3 linked regions of the Daphnia pulex genome follow. The protein of the gene in region 1 binds, or shares a complex with, the protein of each later gene. Links are inferred from orthologs where the notes say so. Each region holds a gene or a part of one and is shown on either strand. Other genes may lie near its edges. The genes, in order: negative elongation factor D-like, negative elongation factor A-like and negative elongation factor B-like.

What was found.
Region 2: the proteins of negative elongation factor D-like (region 1) and negative elongation factor A-like are in contact, whole or in part, in a crystal structure (PDB 5L3X), measured with the Homo sapiens proteins. The link is inferred for Daphnia pulex from reciprocal best matches to the Homo sapiens genes NELFCD and NELFA. Residues at the interface, in XP_047296144.1 of Homo sapiens: Cys204, Gln205, Gln206, Leu207, Glu208, Phe210, Ser211, Leu214, Arg215, Leu218, Ala219, Ile221, Leu222, Asp223, Gly225, Glu226, Cys241, His242, Gly243, Glu244, His245, Thr246, Tyr247, Leu248, Phe249, Ala252, Met253, Ser255, Val256, Leu257; in NP_005654.4 of Homo sapiens: Leu23, Trp24, Ala25, Leu54, Leu58, Leu61, His62, Arg65, Pro88, Trp89, Met92, Val93, Ile96, Leu97, Phe100, Gly104, Ser105, Leu106, Leu108, Leu110, Asn116, Val117, Asp119, Ile120, Leu121, Glu123, Leu124, Arg125, Lys127, Val128.
Region 3: the proteins of negative elongation factor D-like (region 1) and negative elongation factor B-like are in contact, whole or in part, in a crystal structure (PDB 8JJ6), measured with the Homo sapiens proteins. The link is inferred for Daphnia pulex from reciprocal best matches to the Homo sapiens genes NELFCD and NELFB. Residues at the interface, in XP_047296144.1 of Homo sapiens: Arg63, Ile66, Met67, Glu68, Pro69, Ile71, Phe72, Leu75, Ile89, Gln90, Leu92, Ser93, Tyr96, Thr97, Ala98, Val99, Ala100, Gln101, Thr102, Val103, Asn104, Leu105, Leu106, Trp109, Leu110, Gln112, Thr113, Gly114, Val115, Gln121; in NP_056271.3 of Homo sapiens: Met49, Leu53, Leu56, Val58, Ala59, Asn60, Gly61, Leu64, Lys65, Leu68, Thr69, Leu75, Ile78, Glu79, Phe81, Gln82, Glu84, Asn85, Gly86, Val87, Leu88, Leu89, Ser91, Leu92, Ser94, Ala95, Leu96, Pro97, Phe98, Leu99.

Annotation. Positions count from the first base shown.
Region 1 is NC_060027.1:2,128,617-2,135,058, reverse strand, and holds negative elongation factor D-like, read right to left. Parts: upstream 4,305-6,442; 5' UTR 4,236-4,304; coding exon 4,164-4,235; intron 4,074-4,163; coding exon 3,958-4,073; intron 3,898-3,957; coding exon 3,678-3,897; intron 3,609-3,677; coding exon 3,501-3,608; intron 3,434-3,500; coding exon 3,281-3,433; intron 3,211-3,280; coding exon 3,080-3,210; intron 3,004-3,079; coding exon 2,816-3,003; intron 2,741-2,815; coding exon 2,580-2,740; intron 2,525-2,579; coding exon 2,084-2,524; intron 2,025-2,083; coding exon 1,895-2,024; intron 1,825-1,894; coding exon 1,790-1,824; 3' UTR 1,655-1,789; downstream 1-1,654. Other genes in the region: RNA-binding region-containing protein 3-like, read left to right, coding at 137-306, 382-1,187, 1,249-1,402, 1,474-1,654; 39S ribosomal protein L22, mitochondrial-like, read left to right, coding at 4,537-4,773, 4,839-5,276. UniProt on the Homo sapiens protein: Essential component of the NELF complex, a complex that negatively regulates the elongation of transcription by RNA polymerase II.
Region 2 is NC_060020.1:1,899,455-1,905,975, reverse strand, and holds negative elongation factor A-like, read left to right. Parts: upstream 1-2,597; 5' UTR 2,598-2,754; coding exon 2,755-2,967; intron 2,968-3,069; coding exon 3,070-3,256; intron 3,257-3,325; coding exon 3,326-3,411; intron 3,412-3,481; coding exon 3,482-3,878; intron 3,879-3,946; coding exon 3,947-4,446; intron 4,447-4,514; coding exon 4,515-4,614; intron 4,615-4,685; coding exon 4,686-4,903; 3' UTR 4,904-5,368; downstream 5,369-6,521. Other genes in the region: tyrocidine synthase 3-like, read right to left, coding at 5,541-5,681, 5,753-6,077, 6,142-6,261, 6,339-6,492. UniProt on the Homo sapiens protein: Essential component of the NELF complex, a complex that negatively regulates the elongation of transcription by RNA polymerase II.
Region 3 is NC_060017.1:4,643,294-4,649,802, reverse strand, and holds negative elongation factor B-like, read right to left. Parts: upstream 3,821-6,509; 5' UTR 3,668-3,820; coding exon 3,386-3,667; intron 3,327-3,385; coding exon 3,287-3,326; intron 3,231-3,286; coding exon 3,082-3,230; intron 3,026-3,081; coding exon 2,965-3,025; intron 2,907-2,964; coding exon 2,785-2,906; intron 2,682-2,784; coding exon 2,187-2,681; intron 2,128-2,186; coding exon 1,977-2,127; intron 1,917-1,976; coding exon 1,837-1,916; intron 1,779-1,836; coding exon 1,677-1,778; intron 1,617-1,676; coding exon 1,398-1,616; intron 1,333-1,397; coding exon 1,210-1,332; 3' UTR 1,179-1,209; downstream 1-1,178. Other genes in the region: rab-like protein 6, read right to left, coding at 18-124, 184-316; malonate--CoA ligase ACSF3, mitochondrial-like, read left to right, coding at 4,200-4,569, 4,627-5,080, 5,144-5,344, 5,407-5,552, 5,690-5,826, 5,913-6,021, 6,094-6,272, 6,351-6,509. UniProt on the Homo sapiens protein: Essential component of the NELF complex, a complex that negatively regulates the elongation of transcription by RNA polymerase II.

The sequences.
Region 1 (6,442 bases):
GTCACGAACATCCGTTTGGAATTATCAAGGGCAAATTGTAAGCACTGATTGAAAAGAAAAAGAGACTCGAAAGAGTTACAGTGAAGTAATCAACTAATAGAGAGTGTAAAAGTCGTAGTCAAATAGACAAGTAGAAATGGAACCTTGCATTACATTGCCCGATACCCCCGATACACTGATCGTGCGCCGTCTACCGGAATGTCTAACAGAGCGAGATTTGAACGATCTTTTCCGATATTTTGGTGCTCAAGCTGTGAGGAAAGAAACACCAAAGGGAAGGCAAAGGAACAGCACTATTATTGTCAAGTAAGTTAGATATAAAATACTAATTCAAGTGAAAGAAATAATTTGTTTTCTTCATTCAACCTGATGATGCAAAAGGTTCAATTCACATGAGGATGCATCATTTGCACTAACTCGCTTGCATCAGCTGAAGGTGGTAGGTAAGAGGATTGTTGCAGAATATGCAGACTTCACAATCTTGCCAGACATTCCTCAGATGAACCTACCAGCACCGAAACCAGCTGGCAAGAATAATGGTGTTAAGTATCCTCCTGCCAATGAACAGATAGTGAACAATATTGCAGCAGAACTTCTACGAAATGATGATTTTTATCACAAAGTTTTACAACTCATGAAGAGTATTAACTTACCTCCACCTTTCCTGCAAGTGCCAAAAGATCCTGTTGTTATAGTTGAACCATCTGATATTGAAGAAGTTGAAATGGAAGAGTTGTACAAAGAAGATACAGAAGAATCAGAATTGGAAACTGATTCTTCTATACCTGGAGAAAAAGAAGTCATTCCTGATGTAGCTGTCAGACATAAGAAGCTTAAACCATTGAAAAGGCCTAACAAGCTGAAAATGCTTATCAACCCATCAACAGCAGTGATTCCTGCTAAAGTGAAACCTGCATTGCCAACTGTTCAAACTATTTCAGAAATATTTGAACAGAAAGAAATAAGTTCAGCAAAGAAACTTGAGTTTAAGATATCTTCAGAAGTTCTTCATGCCAAAAGTGATCAGTCAACCGAAGCGCAACAAGGAACAACAGAAAGTTTCGGAACATTTGCTCCGCTTCCTCCGAGCCAAAATGAACAGCAAAGTGAAGCTCTAGAAAATCAGGAAGAAGATTACGAATTTATCTCCAGAAGAAAACTTCAGATAAACAAACTTCAAGATGAGGGTTAGAAATTTATCATGTTAATAAACAATGAACATTTTAAAAAAAGCTTTGCACCTTACAGAGATCAAACTTCTTCCTGTCTTCAAGAATTATTCGGCTGGTGCTCCTAGTTCACGACTTTACGTGAAGAACTTGGCTAAAACCGTAAAAGAATCCGACCTGAAGCACATCTATGGCCGTTATGTCTTGTGGACGTCAGAAGAAGAACGAAACATGTAAGAATAAAAACAAAACATAAAACAGATGTTTGACACGAGTAGCTAAGTAGTTAATCTTTTAAATCTAGGTTCGACATTCGCCTAATGACCGAAGGTAGGATGAAGGGTCAGGCATTCATCACCCTTCCAAATGTAGATCGAGCAAAGGAAGCCCTCAACGATACCAACTGGGTGATGCTTCAAGGCAAACCTCTGGTTGTTCACTTTGCACGCTCAGCACAGGCCAACACTACGGGCAGTACCACTTGATTATCAGCAATTTCAGTCGATTTATTTTTATGAGCACAGAAAGGATGAAAATAAAACAAATTGGAAGTGATATCCGCGTCGAGCGAAACTGTTTGTTTTTATGAGTCGCAACATCCAACAATTGGTAACGCTTTATTAGGAAACCACGACGTAGTTGGCCTTACAGTACACTAGAAAAATGGAATGCCTCATTAAGAATACTTGTAAGGATTCAAATCCCGTCGAAAATGTTATAAATACCTATGAAATCAGAGACGAGGTCACCGTCACCATCGCCACGCATTGTACCAGTAATTTCTTCATTTTCAACCATCGGAAGGAATAGTTGGACGAACTCGGATGTGTAGGGTGGGGCAATCGATTCAAGTACCTTGGGAATCATATTCAAATTATTACAGGAACTTCAAAGGTACGGTGTTTGGCATTTACCTCTGTGACGAAGTACCGAATCAGTGAAATATCCGTGTCACCTCTTTGCCAGCACTGTTTGATGTACTTGACAATAGGGACGACGTAACCACGCGTTAACAAATTGACCATACGATCAAGTAACATTTTACGCATTTCCAGTTGAACGAGAATCTCCAACTCATCCTGTCTCGACTCGAAAAGTCGTACCAGCAAGTCGAGGATATTTGAGTGGAGCAAAGGATTCACGGCGGCCACTTCATCGAGAAGCGCCAAATGAACAGGGGTGTGTTCGGTGCTCAACTTAAAGTAGGAGGGCTCTAACACAGTCGCTTCTACCCAGCGAAATACGCCCATAGAGACCACAGGGAAACGGATGTACTGATACAGAGTTCCAAGCTCAGCTATTAATTCAGTTGATCCTTTTGCTGTCGTGCAAACTTGATGAGCCTTCTCGAGTGCCTAATAAATAAACATTATTTAGCTTTTCCGATTGGCATTTTTAACAACAGTATACCTGCATGGTGGCCTTTAATTCATCTCGGTTCGTGTTTTTCCTTTGATTCTTTTTGTACACTTCAGCCACGCTGGCAGCGTAAGCAAGGAGATAGTTGTATTTTGATTTGTGCTCAGGATTGAGCTTCACTCCAGGCTTAAACAGTGAATCGAGGAGCAGCTCTACAAAAATTCGTGAATTAAAAAATCAAAATCTTCTAGCCTTTACAATCGCACGAAACAAGAATAATATCATACCCATAAACTGAGGTAAACGGATCAACTCCACCGGTGGGGGATCGGTTGCCGAATACAGTTTATACAAATTCGTGATATCGGCTGGATTCAAAGCGTTGCGAGAGAGCATTGAGGATAAAGCTTGACTGGCACGCGGATGCGCCGCTGACCCATTAAGACCCATAATAATGGCAGTGACATTGTGACCCCTGTCCGATGATAAAGCATTTGATGACATTATTGTTCCATCTAAAAAAAATGGCCTAGTGGAATTTAAATACTAACGATTGAATCGCGTGACGGGTAATTTCTTGTGATAGTCTTTTGATTGAAGGGCCTCCTTTAGGTTCTTGAGACAAAACATTTAACAGTACTTCACTGTACACGAAAGTATGTTGCCCATGACAAATCATCCGCTGTCAAAATTTGACAGAGCATTAATAACAACTTCGATATTGCAACATTCGAATAATCATGTCTACTTACAGCGCATTCTTGTATGTGTTTTTGCCTGTCGTCATCATTACTTTCTGAGTACTGGCCAACCGAAGTCTTCAAAATTCTTGAAAACACTTCGATTTGCTGAGCTGCAGTTGATATACTCGTAATTTCACCTTGAAATCCTGCATCCGAAATCAACTACGAATTTACAAAAGTAATTCGTCAATTACGAAAATTATACATATTATAAAATGGATATCAATACCTTAATGGTGAAATTCAACATAAGGCAATCAGGATATTCCTCAGCCAGTTTATAAACCAGTGATCTCCAGGTGGGATGTTCAATCATTTCAGTAAGCCAAGCTGGTGTCTGAATAAATAATTGGATGAATGAAAATACTGAAGGAAAATCTTAAGTTTGAAATATGTGTTATCTTACTTCTCCCTCCTCAGTGAAAATAGTATCAGCTTTCTTTGGATCAAACATTTTGATGATCATTTCTTTCAAGTGATTTTCTACCATTGACTGTACATCATTTATAGTTGCCCCAGCTAAGATGAGCCATTCTGCCATTAGATTAGCCATCTGTGCTGAGGCAGAGTAGTTCTGGGAGAGTAGTTCAATGACATGGGCTGGGCTTCCACCAACTGTAAAGTACCTGTAGGAAAAAAACATCAATCTAGCTTCTTTCGTCAATAGTGGAAATGACAATAGTAACCTTTTCAGTTGATTGAAAATGCCGGGTTCCATGATGTAGTCCTGTGTTTTGAACGTTTGAAGGCATTCTTCTAAAACTTCTGCAGGATTTTCCATGTACTGGTCCTCATTGTCAGACTACACGAAAATACAAATATTCATTAACCAAACCACTTAAAGTAAAGTATTACTGATGTAAAGAAAACAACTGAAACATGTAAAACTTACGTCTCCCATCTCGGAATCCCCTCTCATTCCCGAACTTTCTCCCCATTCTTGATTATCGTAGCCGTCATCCATTTCCAAGTCAAATTTTACGGAATCAGTAACTGTTTCATTCGATCAAACCACACGAGTTAAATATCTAATAAACCTGATGTGAAACGACGGGTTCAAATTATAACAACAAGCGTCACGAGCGCGTCAGGCGGCGTCTGCTTAAAGATTCGTCTGCAATCAGAATTATTATTTTTCTCCCATCCATTTGCACAAGTCCAGTCTAACAAAAAACTTCAAAAGAACATATTAAACTAGGTAAATAATAACAATCCTAATGTATTTTCATTTCTGTTCTAATTATTGATATTTTTATTGCAGGAAAATGGAGTTTTTGTTAAGACAATTTCAAAACAGAAACTTGCTTTCCATTTGCAAAAGCTTTCAACCAGCAATTAATCATGCCACTTCTTTATCTTTAGTCAATGAAACTTTTGGCAAAGCTTTGCTCCACACAACAAATGTTTCAATGGCACAGCAGCAAAAAGGGCCCCAAAAATGGCCAATCTATAATAAGAAAATGTTTCCTCCACAGTTACCTGGAGAGGAAAGAAGACCAGCAGTAAGTTATTGAGCATTTCCTTTTTTCAGCAAAAACCAATAAGTTGAACTATTTAAATCTTGCAGTATGTTTGCCACATGAGGACCAACATCAAGTATAGCCCATTTAAGATGTGGTATGTTGCATCAATGATAAGAGGGATGTCCATTGATGAAGCTCTCAAACAACTTAGCTTCGTGAATAAGCTAGGAGCTGTCCATGTAAAAGAAGCCTTGTTGGAGGCCCAGAAGCTTGCTGTGGAGAAACACAATGTTGAGTTTAAAAGTAATTTGTGGGTAGCTGAATCTTTTGCTACCAAGGGACTTGTTTACAAGGGTGTTCGCAGGCATGCCAAAGGAAGAGTTGGAGTAATACATTACTTCCACACTCATTACTTTGTCCGCTTAGAAGAAGGAACACCTCCTCAACATTTCTACTTGGAGACTGTACCTAAAACAACCAAAACATTGTTATCTGAATGGGTTGATGAAATGAGGCAGAGGAGAATCCCTCTCTCATTATAGTTCTCCCAAGTGCTGGTCTCTTATAGTTGAATGAATAAAAACATGTTTAATTCCATTTTCTGGTTAAGTTTCTATCAAAATTTTAACTTTTAGCGTTTCAAGTGCGGGGCACGATTTTCTAGATGAAAAAATCCGTTTGAACCATTTTATGTGAAAAATTATGCTTCATATTTCTTTTATAAAATACTCCTTTTTTCTATTAAACAATTTCAATAATTCCATTAAAAAATTATTTTTGCAAAAATTTTGCTAAATCGTACACTGCCGCGCTCGTCATTATAAAAGAAATGTGTGAAATCGTGACAGTAATGGATGCACCGGAAGTTGCGTTCTACTTTCGTCGTCATTAGTTCAGGCTGCCGGTGAAAACTGAAAATTCCGTCATATATTTTGTTCAACTTTGGCGTGTATTGATTCGTCCGTTCTGTGCAAGTTCTTTAAAAAAAAAACACAACTCGGTTACAAAAGTAATAGTGTAGTGCTGTAGAGTCGCGCCGCCAGCCGTGAAAATCTTTCTTCTTGTTTAACACCACGCTGTGAGAAACGACAGAGGAGCAACTGTTAAAACTGACATCAGGTAAAATAAAAATAAAAAAGCGAGACTATACTATGCCGCGAAATCTATCCGCAAACTCATTACTTTAAGCCAAATATCACGTAAGAAACTCATCGTATCAAGTCTCTGCATATCGTCGTCACACATTTTCAAAAGCATAAGATAATTACGATGATGATGCAATCGATTTTGTGGGAGCCAGTCAGCAGTTGTACAGGACGTGACGACAAAGTTCGGGGTTAGTAGTACTGTTTTGTTGTTGTGTTACCCTTTTCTATGACCCCCGTGAGGCGCTCATATATAATTCAGGCCGTCGAAAGGGTGGGAATCTAAGTCTAACAAAACAAATAGGTGGGGTGTGTGTGTGTGTATATACGTTAGCATTAGTCTTCTTTCTCGAATCCCGTTGATTGCCATCTGGCGAGTCGTGACAGCGTTCGTGTTGTCAAACTGGGCATAGAATGTAAAGGGGAGAATCGTGCTTGGGGCAATTCAATCACAATAAAGTATACCATCCGGATGGATGGATAGAAATGTTAGTTACGTTAATATTTCCAAGTCCATTTTAAAAACCCAAAAGAAATGAATAGATCTACCGAGGATATGCTAA
Region 2 (6,521 bases), on another chromosome or scaffold:
ATATATATGCTATACAAAAGCCAAGGAATGAGCGATTGAATCCAATTGAACGAGAGAATGAATGGGGTGATGTGGCTCTCTCGGAGGAATCGTCTCCTTTTCAATCGACTTTCTCCGACTATACTCCCACGCATTTCACGCAATGAACGACGGACGAAAGCTGCTGGCGACCCTCTCATTCACAATAATACCCCGTCGATTAGAGCTGATATCGACAGAAAAGCTATCGCGGCTAGATATATTACGTCGTCGGTCAGAACCCACTCGAAAACGACGAGCGTGTACAGCCAACCGTGGCTATACAGCAACCGACAACAGCGAACAACAGTGAATCCGTTTGTGTTTCGTTTGCAGCTTGCTATATCCCGTCTGTTATTTTATATCCAGTCAATATCTATATCCTTTTGACTCAGCAGCGAGTCGCCTCTTCCTCATCCAGGAGTTGCACTAGCAATAAGTTGTTGGACGATGGATTTAGGTTGGCCGTGCACACCCACCGACATAATCTTATATCCGTGACGTCAAATCGGCCTCAGTGCCATATTGCCTTTGGATGGATGCGTTGAAAAGTGGTAGACGCATCGCTATTATAGATGCTATACGTAACATCCTCATTGAGACTTGGGCTATCATCGGATACAATGTGTGTACATACTTTATACATCTGAGACGGATGTAATAAGGATGAACAAGCTTTTTCATCGCCCAAACCCCCGGAAATATTTTGCCTCTACACTTTCAAGGCTCTAGCTCGACGCACAGCTCTATAAAACCAATTTCATTACATTTCGCCTGCTGAGAATGATGATGCTGTTGCTGTGTGTTACAACAGGAAGCGATAGATGTACGGCGAGCGTCAAATAACCAATCATTCGTTGCGATTGTTGGAAACGCGCTGCCAATTTCCCTAACAGATCAAATCGCTGCTGGCGGATTAATAACCCCCTTGCGGACTTAAGAATTTCAGATTTAGGAGCACTACTTCTCGCGACTAGGACAAGACGACGTCACAGGAGGAAGCTCATTTTACTATATTTAAACGATGGCCCTTTTATTTTTTTGAGGCCAGATTTTTGTGCTTTTCAAATGTCAAAATGTTGTCTCCCCCAAAACGGTTATTACATAATAGATTCTCGACTGCTGAGCCAGCAGAGTCGTTCCATTTTGGGTCTTTTTTTAAATTTAATCTGATGCTGGGCTCCTTTTGTTCAGCACTTAATTAACCACACGGACATCAGAGCGACTGAATTTCCTATTAAGAGATTCTATCGTAGCCGGAACTGTCCTAACCCAACCAGACGATATAAGGAAGAACGTCGGAAATAGATGACTTTGTTTTTCAACGTTTTTTTTGTTTTTTAATAAGCTTTTTATTTATAGAAAACTGATGTGACGTTGAAGGGGAGATGGGTGTGTAACATACATTTAAGATGAGAGCACATATTGGAGTTGAGTATTGAAATAAGTCACGGAAGGTGGTTTGGATTTGGGTGCATTACACGCTCGCACTTCATTGCGCTAATAATACTGCTGGGCCCTAATTGGACCAACGATCCTTATTAGGGGTTAATCGTGCGAATTGACCGACACAACTTCGGGCTTTCGGAGCACCGAGACCCAACTAGTAGTGAGACACCGGGAGATTTTATGGGTTACGAACTTAATGATAGGTACTACATAGTACTTAATTGAATCAAGGCGCCTGAAATCAGTTGGCGAGTTTGGAAGTGAGACATTGTATTGATTAACTGTATACACTTCATCCGTGTTGCGTTTGCGTTACATGTTGTTTGATACTTGCACTGAGTCTTAAACGGAATCAGCGTCAAGTTTGAAATTTAAAAGAAAACAAAATATTTCTATTCTAAAATGCAGGTTAGTTCTAAAGAGAAACTCGATCGCGCGCAACGAAAGATCAGATTATAACAATGGAATTTTTAATTTGTTTTCCGACTAATTCGTTATACAATTACGGTCGACATGGTAGAGCGTTGAGTACTTTTAGGACCATTCGATCACTCGACACACAATAGTTTCGACAAGAAACTATATTTACAGCTTTAGAAATGGCACATCATTTACTTAGGTCGATTAAGCGACCTCCTGACGAGTGATTCACGTCCGTTATTTGGTTGTTCGATAACGAATCATTGTAGTCTAGTCAGCCGAGTTGAACAGCAGCAACGTTTCCCAACAACGCGGTTTTGGTAAAATAAAAAAAAAGAAAAAGTCCATTCATCGCAACGCAAACAAACGCTTGTACTCAACGACAGATAATTCCGCTTGGGGAAAACCATTTTGTATTTTCTTTTTTCTTTTCTACGACCGCCATTCACAAGTCACAGCACAGCATCCCATCGAGAAACGTGACTAATAACAATATATGGCATCGTTGTGATATTTTCATCTTTGATTTTCCCGCGACCGTTTCCATCGGTCGTTCAAAATACGTTTTTTTTTTTTTAAGTTTGGCCTAACAAGCAATCGTATCAGTGGCAACTAGCCCAAATTTGCGCAACGAAAAAGATAGAGGCAGGCATGCAGCGCCCCTAGCGGCCGTTAGTGGTAAAGTAAGTTTCGGTCTCATCCGAAACTACGCCACAGTGACGCTGTCTGCATCGACATTTTCTGGCTCACAGTGAAAAAGTTGTAAACAAGTAGTGGGAAATTGGTTTGTGGGCACTGTTCCGTTCGCTGTAAGAAACCTTGTGTTTGAGAAAAGCAAAGGAAGAAAAAAGAAAAACAGGGCGGAAAATGGCGTCCAACGTGAGAGACTCAGATACGTCACTTTGGCTTCATAATAAACTTGGTATCAGCACTGATTCCTGGGCAGGCGGCTCAATTTGTTCCCAACTCAATCCCGAAGTTTTGAAGAACATTCAAGAATGCTTTGTCGAGCTGCAAACACAAGTCAAACTCAAATTTCTACTATCATTCTTCCAGTTCTCAAGGAGGAACTTAGAAGAGGTCAGTGGCCTTCATATAGTTTGATTTCGTCTTTTTCTCCATCTTGTTTGTCATTTCACTTCGTAGATTCTGAAAAGTAATCGTTTTTTATTACTTGTATAGTGGAAGACAGAGTTGGAAGAAATTTTGGAAGTGGCTGTTGTTGATGGTGATCCGTGGGTAGCCATGGTTGCTGAAATCCTCAAAACATACCCAGCCACCGGAGCCCTCAACATGGAAATTGGCTCTGCCACCGATGAATACACAAGAAAAATCTTCAACGATCTTGCAAATGATTTGAGAAAACTTGGTAACTTGGCAAAAATCTAAATTCATTTCATCGTGGCTTTTTCGTAATGGTTTTGAACATAACTTACAGTGAAAAAGCATGGAGAAACTGGAATGCTTCCTTTAGAATGCCCCTATTTGAATAAAACAGCACTGTTCACTGTTGTCGGCCAGCAGGTAACGCTCATCTCGTTTCGCGCCAAAATGGAACCTGTTACATTATATGCGATTGACTCTGCTCTTTCAGTCCCACCCCATCAAACATTTCACATTAAAGAGGAAACCCAAGTCAGCGGCGCTGCGTGCCGAGCTTTTGCAGAAATCCACCGACGCCCAAAATAACTTGAAAAAGAATCCTGCTCCTACGGTACCACTGCGCTCACGAGGAATTCCAAGGAAGATGACGGACACGACACCATTGAAAGGCATTCCTAGCCGGCACATTGGAGGATTCGCTTCGCCACTTTCGCGCGTTGGGACGACGCCCACAAGTGTCGGTGCTCTAGGATCTTCTCCGTCCGCTGGTCCCAACCGTCCGTCTCCTCGCACGTTAGCTGGCAGAAAAGATGGCGGTATCAAATTGCTGGACATCAATGAGCAGCCGATCGGATTTGCTCAGGCGAAGAAAAGAAAACGACAACAAGGTAATACGTATCCAGCTATATTTATCGAATTGCTTGTTAACGCTGTTGCCTCTTTTCCCCCCGTAAAGAACTGGAAGCTGCCCAAAAAGCAGCCACCGAAACGACGGCTACCTCTACAAATCCGGCACAACCGCTTTCGGGCGAAGAATCAGAGACGGGCAGTGTCCCCGAAACTCCCGAAAAACCTACTCCAACGCCCGACTATGCAGCTGGCCTTCTTCCGAGCAACCCGCCTCCAACCCCGGCCGCCCCTGTCACTCCACTTGCCTCCACTTCTATCCCACCTCTTACGCCGTTGAAAGAGCCGCCTAGAATGGTAGCCGTCCGTCCGCCTACTACTCCTTCAATCAGTTCTCTACCTCCAGCTTCTCCTGCCCCACCTGCCCAAGTGGTACGCCTTGTCACAGCTCAAACGGCGGCTGCGACACCTGCTGTTGCTACTACGGTGCCCACCGTTTATCGGTTGGTTCAACCAGCTGCTGCTGCTGGGCAGCCTGTCGCAGTGGCGGCAGCAACTCCCAATCAACCGGCCGCTCCACCCAAAAAGAGTGTGGCACTCATGCTCACTGTAAGTTTTAATTGTCGTTGCAGTCATGGTGAATGATTCTTTGGTAATTCAACATTTGTTTTCTATAGCGCGAGCAAATGCAAGAAGCTCAAGAAATGTTCAAGAACGCCAACAAAGTCACACGACCGGAGAAAGCCCTTATCCTCGGATTCATGGCAGGCTCTCGGGGTAACTTTCATTGGAATGATGCTGTTTGAAAACAAAAGAAATGTTCATTCTTTACTTACTGATATTTCTAGAAAATCCTTGTCCACATCTGGGAAACATCGTCACCATCAAGTTGAGCGAGGATGAGGAGGTTGTGACGGCTACCGACGGTGTCACCACCACCAGGGTCGTCGAGACGCATTTCCAGATGAACTATGCAGCCGGCGAATGGAAACGCATCAAGAAAATGAGGAAAACGGAAGAAACTCCGGCGTCGGTCGCCACCGTCATGGCCACAGCGACGGGCTGAATAGGAAACGAATCTGGTTGCAGTAGAGAGAGAGAGAGAGGGACTTGAAAATTCTGTGTAAATAGCAGCAGGATGGATGTTACAAGACAGAGGCGAGGAGAAATGAGTGCGGATGAGAAAGTAAGCCCTTCCCTCTATCCCCTACCCACCGCGTTGTTCCGACTGTGGGGCACGGGATTTATTTTGTTTTGATATATTTCGGTGCCAAAGTCGATTCAACTTGTCCCTTCTTTCCAGTTCTGTTTTGCACATTACTATTCCTTTCCCTGTTTTTCTTCATTCCTATCGATTCGACTTGACTTTCAGTCCTTATCCTCTCCGTGTCGCCCGCATCTCACAAACCAAGCTGAAGCCTTAGAGGCGGCATACTGTTCAGTATCTCAGCATTTGAAAATTGTTCATTTTTTTTCTTTCTTTCAAAGTACAGTTTTCTTGTAGTTCTCATACACACAGATCCATGCATAACATGTTCATATCATTCAAAGCGAATAAAAAAAGCGATACTCTTTGTTAAGAAAAAAAAGAAGTATGTGTATTGAAATCGTTAACAGTCCCGGTCGCTATTGGTTTACGCGACTTCCAGTTTTTGTTTTAAAATAATTTTGCGTTTGTTTAAACAAAAAAAGAAAAGGAGAATTTAGTGTATATATTTGACAGTCACTGTCGAGTATTGGGTATCGGGAGCGTGTTCAAAAGGCTTGGTCCCATCGCTAGCGATGTGTTGATTCACTTGGCACTCGAACAATACAGTATAGTCCAGTAGGTCGTCGCAAATTTGCTAAATCGAAAAGGGAAAATGAGTTGGTATTTTGGGACGAAACTTTGCCTCAAATGGATAAGTCGAGTTACTCTTGTTAGTTCGTTGGTGTTGGTTGTGAAAACACCGACAAAGCCTTTCTGTATCGCCAGCTCCAGGGTCTCTTGCTCCGTTTTCTGGATGAGTTGGATGTTCTCCAATGGACTGGAGGTTTCGGCCGTGGCCATCATAAAGCTGTGGATCAATAAGTTGGTCCGCTTTTCAAAGTGCTTGTCTCTGACAGGAGCCTCAATCGCCTCGAGAAATTCAAAGACGTACGCCAAGCGCCGGACTTTCGGTTCAACGACAGGCTCGTCAAAGAGATCGAAATTCAGGGCCACGGCCACTACTTGTCCGCTCCCGTTCCGGATAACAAAGCTGTGCGCACCCATAGAACAATCAATCAATTGGTGATGGTGTCTTTTTAAAATGGAACTTCAACCTCAAGTCTGCTGCCACTAATGGCTCCCAGAGTTCCTCCATGAAAACTTCGTAATCCTGACGACTGACGCCTGTCAAAAGTTCCAATTCGGCTTTCTCCGAGAAACTTGTACTGATAATCCTGATTAATATCGTCAAGCATTACGACATGTCGTTATTTATAAACGAAATAAAAAATAACTAAATAAAATAAAATACCTGATGACGTCTTCCTTGACTGACGGGCTCAGCATTTCGACAGTGTGATTGGATAACTGATGATCCGATGTCTTTGATCCGCAGGCCGCCTTCGATGGCAACAGTTGAGAAACCAAATCTTCCAGTCTGGAGGCGGCAAGGAATTCGGTCAAATCTGTCATGAGGTAATAGTATATGAAACGT
Region 3 (6,509 bases), on another chromosome or scaffold:
AGAAAAAAAAAACTTGCCTGTATTTCTTGAGTTGGATCATAATTGTCTATGAAAGCTTTTCCCTGAAGCCTGTGGAATAGGCAAGATTTACCTACATTTCTGTCACCTCGTATAATTATCTTCACTGTAAATAGTCTGAATTAAGGACAAGGTCATTACGGAAACAAAAATTCACTATCTTACTATTATAATGCACTCCTTTGGCAAATTTCTTTTGTAAAGATGCATGCATTGCTTGCTGTCCTCCAGCTGGAGTTTTTCCATTTGCTTCATTCTTATTGTTTCCTGCAGCTAACTTTTTTAAGGCGGAAAACATCTTTAGTTGCTTAAAATTTAATTAGAAAATTAAAAAAAGGATTGCCAATCCCCTTTAAAAAACAAACGTATAAATTTATATGATAACACTAATCGTAAACACATCGAGCAGAAGGCAGAAGACGACGTCGGGACAAGCTGTCAAATGTAATGTAAACTCGGTGTATGTACACACAAAATGATAAAATACGTAGAAAACTAAAACTAACCTAACCATAATAGATTTTTATTTAGAATTTTATTTTTATTTTTATTCCCATTCTTACAAATTATTTTACGATTATTTTCATTTCTAAAATATTAAATACAAATTCGGAAGGCAACTGTGTTGGTCATAGCGTCGTCTTCTGCTTCTTTTCGTCGCACAAAATTCACGTCAAAATTCGTTCGTCCAACAAGTTCATATTTCATTGAAATTTGAAAAGTTTTGTACAGCGCTGCTGTCCACTTGAGAGTAGACGACTTACATTTGTTTAGTTGACATCAGACTAAAGTTTCTGCCTTTTGTTCACTTATAAGGCCTGACAAAGTGACAAGTCTTACCTATACAAAATGATCGAGATCACCTGCAACGATCGTCTTGGCAAGAAAGTTCGAGTCAAATGTAACCCTGACGACACAATTGGAGATTTGAAAAAATTGATTGCTGCGCAAACAGGTACCAGATGGGAGAAGATTGTTCTAAAAAAATGGTACACTATTTACAAGGATCACATCAAACTGGAGGACTGTAAGTAGTTTTTGAATTTGATGTTTTTTTATGGCTACTCCATATTGACTAAGTTTTATTCTCTTCTTGTAGATGAGATTCATGATGGGATGAATTTGGAGCTCTATTATCAATAAATCATCATTAAATCTTGTTTGTAAGCCTGACCAATACACTGTTTTATTCTACATTGACATTGGAGTAGGTACATTCATCATCAACACAGAGTCATCATTGTGGACTCCTTGAGTCATAGATGATGGGTTCAGCTGGTATGATTCAATTCTTTGCTCCAGTTGCTTATAGACCTAAAGGCAAAGCACATTTATGGACATTTTCTTTTTTTTCTATGCCAATATAATAATATTTTTACCTGATGCATGATTTCAGGGGATTGAGGATTTGGTTGAAGTGCTTTCATTAAGGTATCAAGTCTAGCAGCAGGTAGCTTATGATGAACATACCACACAAGTTTTGTTAAATGTCTGACAACATTCTCCTTGCCAATTGATGTGAAAAAAAATTCATCAAAAACAACTGTGCAAAACATTTCATTGACAAATTCATCCTGCATTGGAATCAGATGGGCAACCTATTTTCCAATTATAAAGTTATTTACTTTAATGATCTAATAGGTAAAATAGGATATTACCAAAGTGTGAAGGAAAGGATCTTCGAATGATCGTTCGCCGTGACCAACAGCAAGCGTGCCCAAAACACGAGTTAAAGCCACTTTGTCTCTACTTCTTGCCACCTAAATCCGAGGAATGACAGTAATAAATGCCATTATTCACATATAGTATAAATAATACCTGGAGAGTGTAATACATTGCTAGAACACAAGGTACACTACTTTCAGATATGTATGCTTGGAATGCATCGGGTGGAGGTCCTATTATTAGAAGCATTAAGTAAACGTGCCTTGAAACTTCACAGTAATGGTTACATGTACCTGAATGTTCGATAATGGTCAAAGCTGATTCACGTTCATCACTGGGTAATTTCGAGTTTAGAGATCGGACTTGATCATCCACCATTAGCGACATGAGAGCCGGAAGAAATTTCGTGACAACTTGAGAATCAAGCCGTGGTTCCCGAAATTCCTGCACAAGATTACTGAAATTAATAAAGGAATAATGGTTGTTTTGAATCTTCGTCCTACCTGAGAATCGATCATCTGCCATGCGCTTAAACCAAGCGCAAGCATCCGTAACAATAAAAGTAAAATATGGTGTTCTCGAGGCAAACTTTCTGATGCAACAAGGTTGTGCAAAATCTTCAACGATGACGTAGCTAAGAAATGGACGGCATAGGGATCGCACAGCATCATAGACAGATCTCCAAGAACTTGTTCCTGGCCACTTTTTATACCGTCGAGAAACGCTTGAATCTCTCGAGAACGTTTGGTGTCGACATTACGTTCCCTTATGCAAGCATCCACGCACCAGGTGAACTTGTGACATGGATCAACGTTTGTAATTTCTTGCACTTCCGTCTCATGTAGAGCCATAAGCAGTTCAGCACGCAATGTACAATAATGAACGTTACGAGTACGTAAAAATAATGTTCGTAAGAACTGCAAAACCATATCGTACAGCCGAACGTTATTTCCGATCATATGCGCTAGCTTCTGGACCACTTCTCCTTGGCGGCGAACCTGGGAATCGAAAGAAAGATTTTTATTTTTCTCCTTGACCAATAAAAAAGGTATATATTTTGTCGCAGCGCCACAAAGACCATTTAATACCATTTCATTTTACCTTAGGAGATGGTAGGAAAAACAAATTTGTCAGATTATTTTGATCAAAGAGAAGTTGTTCTTTTTCCTTGATATATTGACTGAGTAAAGGTGAAACCTCATCACCAAAAAGGGATTGGTTGTCTAAAATTTGAATGAAAAGTTATAATACTTGTATTTGAAATGTTATCTAAGAGGATACCTTTCCACATTTGCCTCTTAACCACAGTATCACAATCATCATAAAGTTCTTTGTCTTTCACCTGAGATCAATCATTTCATTAAATTCTGAATTCAAATAATAAATGTATTACATTACCAAAACTTTGAGGTATTTTTCATCAACATGAGAAAGGTGTTTCATAACTGCCATAACAACTGGCCTTAGAGCTTTAGTTTTAACTACAAGAAAGCTTTTGTTCAACAATTCTTTCAATTTCTTGTCTTTCTCTTTTCCTTCTTTTTGGCCTGAAGATAGTTAATGTAAAATAAAACTGATTTTAAAATAATTAAAGATGCATTACCTAAATCAGCAATTTGGGCCAAAAGCTTATCACGAAGTGCCTAAAAGCATAAAAATAATTGAAAACTAAGTGTGTTTTAAATCTTTTCATGTAAACAACCTCCATGACAGATATGTGGAAATCAAGCCGCTTTACTCCATGTAAATCCAAAAGTGGCATCATTGGTCTTAAAGAAGGTAGAAGTATTCCATTTTCAACTTGAAATTCTTCGATGGCTTGAAGAGGATCACTACACGAAGTCAAAGCTTCTCTGAGAAATGTTCCTCCGGGTATTCCAAGGACTTCAAGACCAGATGCAGATGGAGTGCTGGTTGATGGTGTTACACCAGCCGGCTGACCAGCTGCATTTGGAACTGCCGAGGAAGAGGGATTTCGACTCATAATTCAAAAAAATAACGTTTCACACGTAATGTATTTCAAATTATAATATCCCGAAGAATCAGTTTCTTCGCGCAGTTTTCACTTTTCAGTGTAACTCCCGGACACAAATTTCCAACAACAAGTTTTTGTTGACAGTCTAGACAACGTTGCCGTTTCACGAGTATTATAGAGGAGCATCTAATTAGAAAATAATTTAATTACAAAATATTGGGTGGTTGGACCCCAATTGTAATTGTTTTGATTTTTTCCCCTTTATATACATAACATTTAAAACGATTATAGAAAAGATTGCAAACGATTGTGCAAGCCTGTTGGTCTTTTTGACTTGCGAAAAGAGGCCGGGAGCTACAGCAGACGACATAAAGTATTTTTTTTTTGTAAACAAACACATCAGTTGTCTCTATCCAGACTTCCAAGTTCCAAGGTTACTTCATAGGATTATTAATATTCTTATCAGATTCGAATTTTATCTCGACGTGCAGAATTACACCTTTATAGATGATAAGATATCTCACGATTTATTACTTGACTGATGAATAACATGACGATGCTCTCTGTTTTTCTAAAGTCATTGAGATCCGGTGTACTTAATTCAACCCTTCGAAGTAGACCATACTCTATCAGTAATACAGATCCTCCAGGCAGAATTCAATCCACGATGGAAAATCGTGGTATCATTCCTGCACATCGAATTGCTCTTCAACATCTCAATCGAGTTGCTATTAAAGACAGCCATGGATCTCATACCTATTTGGATGTGTTGCTTAAAGCCATTAAATTGTCAAATATGATTAAAAGTTCTATAGGTCCAGAAAAAAATCAAGAAAGAATTGGCTTCCTCTGTCCGAATGACTCTACCTATGTTATATCTCAGTGGGCCTGTTGGGCGGCAGGGCACATTGGTATCAAAACATATATCAAAACATAAAGTTCTCTAATAATGATTATTTCTATTGCAGCTGTACCACTCAGTCCGGTTCATCCTCCATCTTTGTTGGGTTACTATGTCAAAGACTGTGATGCTGCCTTAATAATTGCTTCTCAAAGTCATTCCCAATTGCTTAATGCTGTCCACGAAACAGTTGGTCAGGATACCAAATCTGTAATTCTAGAAGAATCATGGCAACAAACCATCAACCAAAATGTTACACCCACCCAACTAAAATCCATTCTCTGTGACACAAAGCCAATGGAATTTTATCAGAATTCTGATGCTATGATGCTGTATACTAGTGGAACCACCGGCAAACCCAAGGGAGTTCTACTGAGTCATAAAAACATCGATGCTCAGGTACGAATGTTGATTGAAGTATGGCAATGGTCCAAAAAAGACGTCATCGTTCATGCGCTTCCACTTCATCACACTCATGGTGTTATAAACGCTTTGCTGTGTCCCCTATATGTAGGAGCCAGGTATTCGAATTTAAATGAAATTACTTACTGTTATCGACACTAAATTCAGCGGCTTAATTTCAGTTGTATTATGTTGCCCAAATTCGACTCGAAAGCAATTTGGGAAAATTTCTTAAATACTAACGTGAGTCAAGAGGAAAAGCCTACTCTGTTCATGGGTGTGCCTACAATGTACAGCAAACTACTCTCACATTACGATTCCACTTATGGGGAAACTCAACGGAAAAGGGAATATGTGAAAGCTAGTATTTCTAACAACTTTAGGTATTTCTTGTTAGATTTGAATGGGGAGACAACAAATAATTTGTTTTAATTTCTTCTCATAGGGTTATGATTAGCGGGTCTGCAGCTCTTCCTGAGCCGGTGTTTTACAAATGGAAAGCAGCAACTGGAATTGAAATTGTGGAACGTTATGGGATGACGGAAATTGGTTCTGTTTTGTCTATTCCTCTGGAGGGAGAACGACGCCCTGGTAAGGTCCTTGGTTCAGCTTAACCCCACTTCATACACTTATTACCTAAACAATAAACATTCCCAATTAAAACTAAAACTAGAATTTATCCATACAATCATAAATCCTTGTTAGTACTTCCCTTTGACTTTATTAAGGTTATGTTGGAGTTCCGTCGCCTGGTGTCAGCATCAGATTAGCAGAATTTCAGTCTTCTCCTCTTGGATCGAAAGCTAATTATCAAATCTTGTTCGAGACCAGCTACGACCAGTTTTCAAAAGGCTACGCAAATGATGTAAGAACACAATCAGTTTTTTTCAAAAGCCTTGGATTGAATAAAAAAGCTTCTATTATTAATATCCATGAAATCCTATTTGTTAGAAAGTCATAGGAGATCTTCTTATCAAAGGACCAAACGTTTTTAAATGTTATTGGAACAAACCAGAAGCCACAGCTAAAGATTTTACTGCGGATGGATGGTTTCGAACAGGTTTGTTACTGCTTGTCTGCTTTTATGTTGAAGGGCCAATTCGTGTGAATAACATCTCGGTTGTTTTTGTAGGAGATTCAGTTCAATTTGATAATGGTTATTTCAAGATCCTTGGCCGATTATCAGCCGACATTATTAAATCCGGCGGATTTAAAATTTCTGCTCTCGAAATCGAAACACATCTTCTTGGTCATCCCGAAATTGCAGATTGCACGGTATTCGGAATTCCTGATGTTACTTGGGGACAAAAGGTATCACACGTTGATTCACCAGCAATTTCATTTATTTGCCACCCACTTTACCTGTGATGTTGATTGTGTGCTTCGTAGGTAGCAGCTGTCCTTGTCCTGGCGAACCCTGAGATGACCATAGACTTAATAGCTCTTAAACAATGGTGCAAAGAAAGAATGGCTCCTTACATAGTGCCAAGTGAATGGCGAATATATTCCGAACTACCCCGTAATGCGTTGGGTAAGGTTAATAAAGTA